2 separate regions of the Mus musculus genome follow, and region 1 is reported to be linked to region 2. The links are microRNA targets in miRTarBase. Many come from high-throughput screens and were not tested one by one. Region 2 holds a microRNA gene; the other region holds the end of a gene's coding sequence.
The links. Region 2 holds the annotated microRNA mmu-miR-124-3p (UAAGGCACGCGGUGAAUGCC, at 1,928-1,947, shown strand). A microRNA usually pairs through its seed, bases 2 to 8, with sites in the 3' UTR of a target mRNA and lowers its output. Matches are read on the target gene's strand: a 7mer-m8 pairs with bases 2 to 8, a 7mer-A1 pairs with bases 2 to 7 and ends in A, and an 8mer does both.

Region 1 (4,000 bases), not on the chromosome of region 2:
CCCAGCCTGTCTGGATTCGCTTCCTCCGTGTGAGCCTGTCTTCACTGCCCTCTTTCCTAGCCTAAGGAAGAACCCTGCAGAGCGCATGAGCTACCTGGAGCTGATGGTGAGTGTGCACGAGAAGTACCTGCCCTGTCCCCTGTGCTGTGTAGTGGCTGGGTGGGGCTGGGTGGGACTGTCTGGAAGAGGGTTGCACTCCAGGGTAGAGAGGTAGCTCTTCTGCCTGGCCCTTGCATGTGCTTGTGTAGTTTCACCTTCACCCATGCCTGTACCCCAGGCCTTGTGGAAAGGTGCACGGGGCTGTGACAGTGGGGCACAGGAGTCACTGTGGCATCAGGGAAGGCTTCCTAGAGGAGATGCCATTTGAGCTGAGCCTGGAAGGATGGGTATGGGCTCTTTGCTAATGAAGGAAGGGTAGAGGGTCTGGTAGGGCAGAGGTCTGGTACCCTTGAGGAAAGAGATGTTTGTGTGGCAGGAGGGACTCTTGTAGGAGGGTGAGGCAGAGTCACAAGCTTTGATGGTTTTGGAGGGCTTCGAGGGGCAGCGGTCCTGGATGGACCAGCAGGAGTTGGCCAGGTAGGAGGGGCATGAAAAGAGGGAACCTCTCCTTTATACTTTCTCCTGTGCCCCTTCACCCCTAGAAATTGTACCTCTCTTTCCTACCAGGAACACCCATTCTTCACCTTGCACAAAACTAAGAAGACAGACATTGCTGCCTTTGTGAAGGAGATCCTGGGAGAGGATTCATAGGGACTGGCCCAGGACCCCACTGGTCTGCCAGCATCCATACATCCGTGCTGGGGCAGCACTTACCTACAGCCATAAGCTACTGCCATTCTGTTCCTGGGCATTTGAGAAATTAAGGGGTTGTTCCTGTCGGTCTCTGCAACTAGCTGTCCCAAGTGCCAAAGAACCAGACCTCAGGGGCTCCCAGCCAGGCCATATGTGCCCCACAGTGCCTCTGCTGTTGCTGCTCCCAGGGTCTCAGGCCTCTACCCAAGGGATGAATCTGACAGGGCCTGTGTACCCCGGCAAACGCTGTCGCTTCTGAAGAGCAGGCAGCTGGTGTCTCTCTGGACAGGCCATAGCCTTGGTACTGTCCTGGATGCCATGCAGGTTGTATATATATTTTAAATCACAACTGAATGAATGGACTTCGTACACTGTGGCCTGGATCAGGGACATCTCTATCCTGTCTCAGGTGCTGAGGACACACTATGGGGATGAATCTCCTAAGACTTTCCTGAGAGACGTACTGAGCTTCCCAAGGCCTTCCCCCCAGCACTGGCCAATGGTCTCTGAGGGACACACTGTCCTCAGACAGCCTCTGGTTACCACCTTTAGTGGTATCTGCCTTTCCCTTTGAACTATTATTCCTGTTGCCTTTTGCTTTGTGGGTATTGCTGGGTTTTCTTGCATGGTTTGGAGCTGACCACTTAACCCTGGGTGCCAGCAGGCTCACAGCCGCCCAGTGCTCGGACTGGAGTCTGCAAGGATGGCTCAAGCTCTTGGCTCAAAGCCACGAGGGAGCTGTAACAACTCTCCAGGTGTGACCAGCTCTTGGAAGCTAATAGGTTTACTTTGGTGGTGTTTTTAAAAAAAAAGAAGAAAATCTATTTTTGTGAAGAAAGGCCTGCCTCTTCCAGCCTTTTCCTGGGCAGGAACCTATTGCTGTTTTAATTAAAAAAAAAAAAAAAAATCGTGTGAGACTGACTGTGGCAAGCCTGCTCTTTCTTGGGGAGTTGTGGAGCCCTAGGCGGAATCCTTACTCTGGGACCATGCCGGGACAATATAGCTAGGGCCTGGAGGCTGCCAGCCCACCAGGGCCTCAGACTTGGCCACAGGCCACAGGTGCTCTCAAGGTGCTGGGCTGAGGTGCTTCATTCCATGGCCACCTAGGCTAGGCCCCTGTAGAGGCAACCTGACTCACTCATCCAAGTGATGGTCCCCGAAGTAGAGATGACCGGGTAGGAAGCAGCAGGCTCCACATTGTTTGCACTGCTATCTCAGCTGTAAGCTGAGAGAATGTGCCCAGAGAGCTCCCTAACACGTAGTCAGAGCCAGCTGAGGCCGAGGGCAGGTAGTGATGCCTACAAGAAGGCTCTGAGGATGCGACTTGGTATAAATGCCCTTGGTAGGTCAGCATGGCTCTGTGCTTCTTGAGCTGTTGCCTGGAAGACTTGCATAGGCCCCGTTACCCCTGTTCTCCTGTAAGCAGGAATGTGTCATCTCAGGCACTGGTGGATTCAGGACAATATCCTAAAGGACCTGTGTCCATACACTACTCTATGAGGTCATCAGGATCTAGTGACTGCTTCTCCTAGCTTGACAAACACAGGCACTCAGCCACAGTTCTCTGGAGGGTTACTCCTGGCTAGGAAGGACTCATGTGCTCATGCCCAAGTCAGAAGACTGGAGTGTAACTTCAGGCACAGGTGGGCCATGGGGAGAGTCAGCCCACACAGTTTGACAGCAGGGCCTTGGTGTGCCTGGGAGAGTCCAGAACCCATGGGGCCTCTGTCACCACTCTTCCTTCACCTCTGTGCAGTAGTTTCCCAGGTTCACAGTTTCACGGAGCCTCTCGCCTTTAGACATAGGTTGGTTCTTTCCCCCAAGATCTGTGTTGGTGGGTCCTGTCTCAGGATGGCATGATTTAAAAGAATGGCCCACCAGTCCCAACGCCATCAGGACACATGTGCCCTGCTACTGTATTCCTGTAAGAGGAAACTGCCAATCCTTAAAGGGACTTGGTTAACTTTCGTTGAAGAATAACATAAAGGTAGAACCAATGTCTGGCCGTGAGTACCCACAGGCTAAAGTGGGCGGGCGTTTCTTCTTGCGCATGCGCAGGTTCTTCTTTGCAGTAGTCTAGGTTGCGGCCAGATCGCCTTTTCCCTGGCCGCCAGGAGGCGGCAAAGCCTGGACCTAGTCCTGCCCTGCAAGCCTCTGTAGATTCTGCAGGGTACAGTGCTGTTCACACAGGGCTGAGGGAGCCGGCTTTGTAGCTGGCAAACCATTCCACTTCTAGAGTGCAGCGCGCTTTACAGAGTGTCCCGCGGCTGACCAGACAGGCTCTGTAGAACAGATAACAATTTGCAATTCTCCACCACGTGGGGCTCCAAAGGACTTAATAATTCACTTTGCTGAAATTTGCCTAGTGCCTCACAGCACATTCCTCTTTATAGTGCTGCAAATAGTGGTTTCGGTCCTTTTACTGTTTGGAAACCTTAGCCCACCATCCAGTGTGCAGATCACATTGACATTTCAAAGCATGGCCCCATGGCTACAGCGAAGGTCCCACCCCAGGCTCCTTGCTTAGTGGCAGGCCCCTCTTGTTCCTATTAACACTTCTTGAGTCAGGGCCAGGAGATTAGGAACCTAACAGGGCCCTACAGAGTACCCGTTGTCTCTGTTTCCCATCAGGCAGCGGCTGGAACCAGCAGGCATCTCTAGTCTTGGAGTTAATGTCTCTGGACTGATGGACACAGAGGCCTTTCTGTTTCAGGCGTTGCACAAGAGCCCTCAAACAGCACAAACACTACAGATAGATAGGCCTGTCCTAGAATGGCTTCTGGAGGACACGTGGCACTTACAGGACACCCCTTCCTGGAGGTCAGGGCTGGCAGCTTTGGTTCAATATCAGCATTGTTGCCTCCCTCAGAATTGTGCTGCAGCTCCTGCCTCAAAACTTCCCTGTAACAGTCAGCGCTGACCATTGGCTCACCCAGGAGACGAACCTCTAAGCATGACAGTGATGGAGTTTCTAGACTGGTCTCCCTGAGGTGGGACGACCTCACTCTGAATTCGGGTGGCACCATTCTATGGTGCAGTTTCCTGGACTGGATGAAGAGGAAGATGAGGTAGCAGTGTCTGTCTCCTGTTGCCTCTTGACCATGGATGCACCATCTCAAGCTCTGGCCACTGTGCCTTTCCTGCCATGATGAGCTGTACCCTCAAATGGACCAAAGGTTAAACCCTCCTCCTTTAAACTATCCTGTCA
Region 2 (4,148 bases):
CTTCGGGGGTTCCCACGGGGCTGGAGAAGGTTGGAAAGGGAGGGGGAAGAATTTATGCCTGGGTCATTTAGCTTCTGTTAGAGGGCAGGTGGTCAAGGGCTGGGTTGGCCCAGGGAGAAAGGATAGGACAGAGGCCTGCCTACTTCTGTGTGGTTCTTCCAGTCTGCAGGAACAAAGGCCCGCTGGGAAGGCCTAGAGTGGCGTGGGTTTTTTTTTTTTTTTTTTTTTGTTTTTTATTTTTGGAAAGCCGCTGATCTCTAGCCCTAAAGACCCAGATCAAGGTAGTCACCCTTCAATAGACTGCAAAGAGTAGATTCAATTGCAGTCAACTGTGAAGTATGGACTGTGTTTCTCCCATCCTCGTAAGCAAGGACTCGCTACCCAGCTAGAAAAAGGGTGAAAAAGGGGAGCAGTCTCTGATGGGGGTTGGGGGAGATGTCTAACTCCCTTCTCCACATAGGGCCGCCAGCAGGAGGCTAGGACCCCTTTCTTTCCCCCCCCCAGGAGAGAGAGGCTCAGAAGCCACTGTGTAGAGTGGTTATTCCGGAAGGACCAGCCGCTTGTGTGAGGCAAGCACAGTGTGTTCGCTGCACAGCGGGGTGTGGCTGGTGGTGGGTGTAGAGGAGCTGCGGTCGGTGGGCTGCGGGAGAAGCTTTTGCGTGGGTCGTGCAGTAGGACAGAATGAGCGGTTCGAGAGTGTCCAAGAGGCAGTTTCTCTGCATACGTGTGACCCCGGGGCGCCGGGCACAATCGAAGGCGTTCGAGGGCTGCATCCGTGTGAGTCGAGGAGCGCGCGGAGCGGGACGCCGAGCGTGTGCGCGGGAGGCACGGGTCGCGCGGTGCGTGAGTGCGCGTGTACGCGGTGCGCGTGCCCCTCAGTTCTCAAGGACACCTCCGAGAGGAGGCGGCAGAGCCGGTGTCGGGTGACGTCACCGCGCGCCCCAGTGATAATCGCCCGGTGCCGGAGCCGAGCGCGGATACGAGCGGAGGCAGCGGCGGCGGCGGCGAGCGCGGGGACGGTCGCACCCGGTCTAGGCAAGGAGAGTGGGAGTCAGACTCCCGCAGTGCCGACCTCGCGGACGCCGGGCTCCCACCCGGCCCTCAGGAATTTGCCCGGCTTCCTTGGCACTGTCCCTGCGCTCTCCTCCACCCGGGGCCGTAGCGTGCGGGTCCTGCGGGCGCCAAGAAGGAGGCGGAGGCGGGATCGGGCGACAGCGCAGGCTGTGCTGCGGAGCGGAGGCGGCAACCGAGAAGCAGCAGGCGGCGGCGGCTCGCGCCCGGACGGGTAACTGCGCTGGCGGCCCGTGCCGGGGCGAGCCGGTCTCTCAGGTCACCCCGTCTTTCTCTCCTCGAGCAGCTTCTCGCCAGCCAGAGGCGTAAGAGAAGAGAGCTCGGCGGGTTGTAGAAAGAGACTGCTTTTCATCTCCGAACATCGAGGTTCTTTATTTTCACCGCACTCACGCACTCCTGGTGGGGCCGGGAAGAGGAGCCGGGGAAGGGCAGCTGCGGAGAGGCTTGCGCCGCCGGGGTGGAGAGGGCTCTGCACCCGTCAGAAGACTGCAGCAGGCCGGAGCACGCGCGCTCACCCCGGCCGGCTCCTGCATCTCCCTCGCCGCGGCTCCGAGGGGTCCCTACTGCAGGAACGCCCCGAGGGATTTGCCCGGGCCCTTCTCTACCTCGGGGAGGGGAAGGAAAACTGGCTCCTCGGAGTTGGGGGCGGACCAGGGCAGCACTGCCAGCTTAGCGCGGAGCCCCGCCCCGCCCGCCCGCCCCGCGGCGAAGAAGCTGGAGCATTCGCGCCCCTCAGGCTAGGACCCCACGCAAGCCGCAGCCCGGCCCCGACCCGGTCCAGCCGCTCGCCGCCCGCCGCAGCCCTGAGGGCCCCTCTGCGTGTTCACAGCGGACCTTGATTTAATGTCTATACAATTAAGGCACGCGGTGAATGCCAAGAGAGGCGCCTCCGCCGCTCCTTTCTCATGGAAATGGCCCGGGAGCCCGGCCGTCGCGGCGCCCCTCCCGCGGGAAAAAGGCGAGCCCCGGCCCCCGGTGGCCCCTCGCTCCGCGGACAAATCCGGCGAACAATGCGCCCGCCCAGAGGGCGGCCCAGCTGCTGGGCCGGGGATCTGGCCGCGGGACACAAAGGGGCCCGCATGCCTAGGACGTCACGAGAAGGGTGGGGGCGACCGCGGGGGAGAATGTGGCCACCCGGCCCCTGACCACGTGTGTCCGCAGCTCTGAGTGCTCGAGATCCCGAAGAGGGAGACGAGGGCCAGAAGACAAAGGGAGGGGCTGGGGAAGCGGCGGGCTGAGGGGCGCGGGAGGGAAGTGTGCAGCTTCCCGGGTTGTGTTGGCGCGTCCCGCTACCCACGGGCAGTCCTGGGCGCTGTCCTCGGTGCTGGCCGTGGAGTCACCCAGAGAGACGGGGCGCTAATGCGCTTGGGGCGAAGGGATGTCATGAGTATCACTGTTCCCATCTAGGGGGCCCTGGATAGTTGCCGCAGCAACCCCAGAGAAATGGGGTAGGGTCTGGGGTCACTGCAGTCTGTCCCCTGGGCGCTCTAGTTGGGGTCGCAGGGTGAAGGCGGTGATCACTTTGATTCTGAAGAAACCCCTGAACCTTAGGTTGAGGTTCGAGCTGTGGAAGTGGGGGATCTGCATCTGCATCCAAGGTCTAAATCTGGGTGGATACACTGGACCGCATCCCGCCCCCAAACCTCTCTCCAGCTATGCGGGACGCGAGGCACGTGAGGCTCTGCAGCCCAGAGAGAAAATGACAAATCCTCCTCCTCCCTCCCCCACCACCATCTGCAGCCGCAGTGACACCCACTCAGGTCTGCTGCAGGCATTTTTTTTCCTGTCCTCGGCAGCCAGCGCCACCTGCTGGCGTCCTGGTATGAGACTCTGCTCTGGCATGTCTCCTCCCAGCAAGGTTTCCGATCCCCAAGGTTACAGGCCCTATTACCTAGGGCAATGGTTCTCAACCTTCAGAATGCTGCTACCCTTTAATAGAGTTCTTCATGTTGTGGTGACCCCTCCCCCCAACCATAAAATTATTTTCGTTGCTACTTCGTATTTTGTTGCTACTTCATAACTGCAATTTTGTTACTGTTATGAATCCTAATGTAAATATTTTTAGAGATAGAGTTTGGCAAAGGAGTCCTGATACACAGGTTGGAAACTGATGACCTAGGATTGACTGTCAGTGGAGGAGGTCACAACCTCTGCACCCCCACCCCCTCAGACAAGTTGCAGACTTGCTTTTCATCTTCATGGGGTGAGTGTGAGCCCCTTTCCTGGCTCTGACCCAGATCCAGAACTGACCGCCCAAATTCTCCTAGCCTCAAGTCCTGTGCAGTTGCAGAAAAGCAAGACAAAAGGGCCCGCGTGAAGACACAAAGAGATGCTGCAGGGAGACTGCTTCAGTACTCCATGGAGAGATGCACACAGTCACACACTCATAGACCACTAGTGCCTTTGCATCCTGTCCCCAAAGCAGAGCCTCTGCAGAACCTCTGCCTCTTGGAGGGTGGAGAAGGGGCCCAAGCATACCACAGCTCTGACCTTGGGCTTGCTGTCTCTTTTTCCCTTCCTCCCTCAGAAGAGCTGCAAGGTGAACTCAAAGCAATACTGAAGGAATTGGTAGAGGTATCAGTCCTCTAGTGTAAAGGTTCCTAGGGGGCACAGGACTATGCCCCTCGTTGAGCTCTGTTGGGGGTGCTCTACACTGCAGCCTGGCTCTTTTCCCAGAGGGAAGATTCCCCCTGCCTCTCCCCTGGAACTAGAGCTCCATTCTTGTGCCACCGCTGCCCTTGCTGGAGAGTTGGCTCCTGACCACAGTGACCTTCTGGGCTGTGAGCAGAGATCGGGGTGGGGAGGATGGTAAGGGAGGTGGGCTGGAGAGTGGATAGGCGGTAAAGCCCATGGCAAGCTGCCCTGTGCCCCAGCCCAGGTTGAGTAGCAATCACCTTCACTCACCTTCATTGCACCCCCTTCAGTGGAGGCTAGGGGCTTCAGTTCAGGGGCACAGGACCAATCTGGGCATGGCTAGCAGACATGGGGCATTCGGTAGGAAGGCCATTTTTCAATCCTTACTGTGCTCAGGGTGCAGCACTGTCTGCTGGGGTGTGGGCAGGCCTCACGCAGGTGAC

Region 1: miRTarBase lists Map2k3 as a target of mmu-miR-124-3p. The part of its 3' UTR that is shown has no 7-base or 8-base seed match.

What each region holds. Positions count from the first base shown.
Region 1 is chr11:60,951,098-60,955,097 of GRCm38, forward strand. Map2k3 (mitogen-activated protein kinase kinase 3) reads left to right here. Exons shown (of 12, transcript NM_008928.5): 11 at 61-106; 12 at 667-1,714. The coding sequence ends at 750. Among named protein-coding and RNA genes, the nearest start is that of Map2k3, 21 kb to the left of the region's middle.
Region 2 is chr2:180,892,156-180,896,303 of GRCm38, forward strand. It overlaps Mir124a-3 (microRNA 124a-3), which reads left to right and starts at 1,885; the gene lies at 1,885-1,952.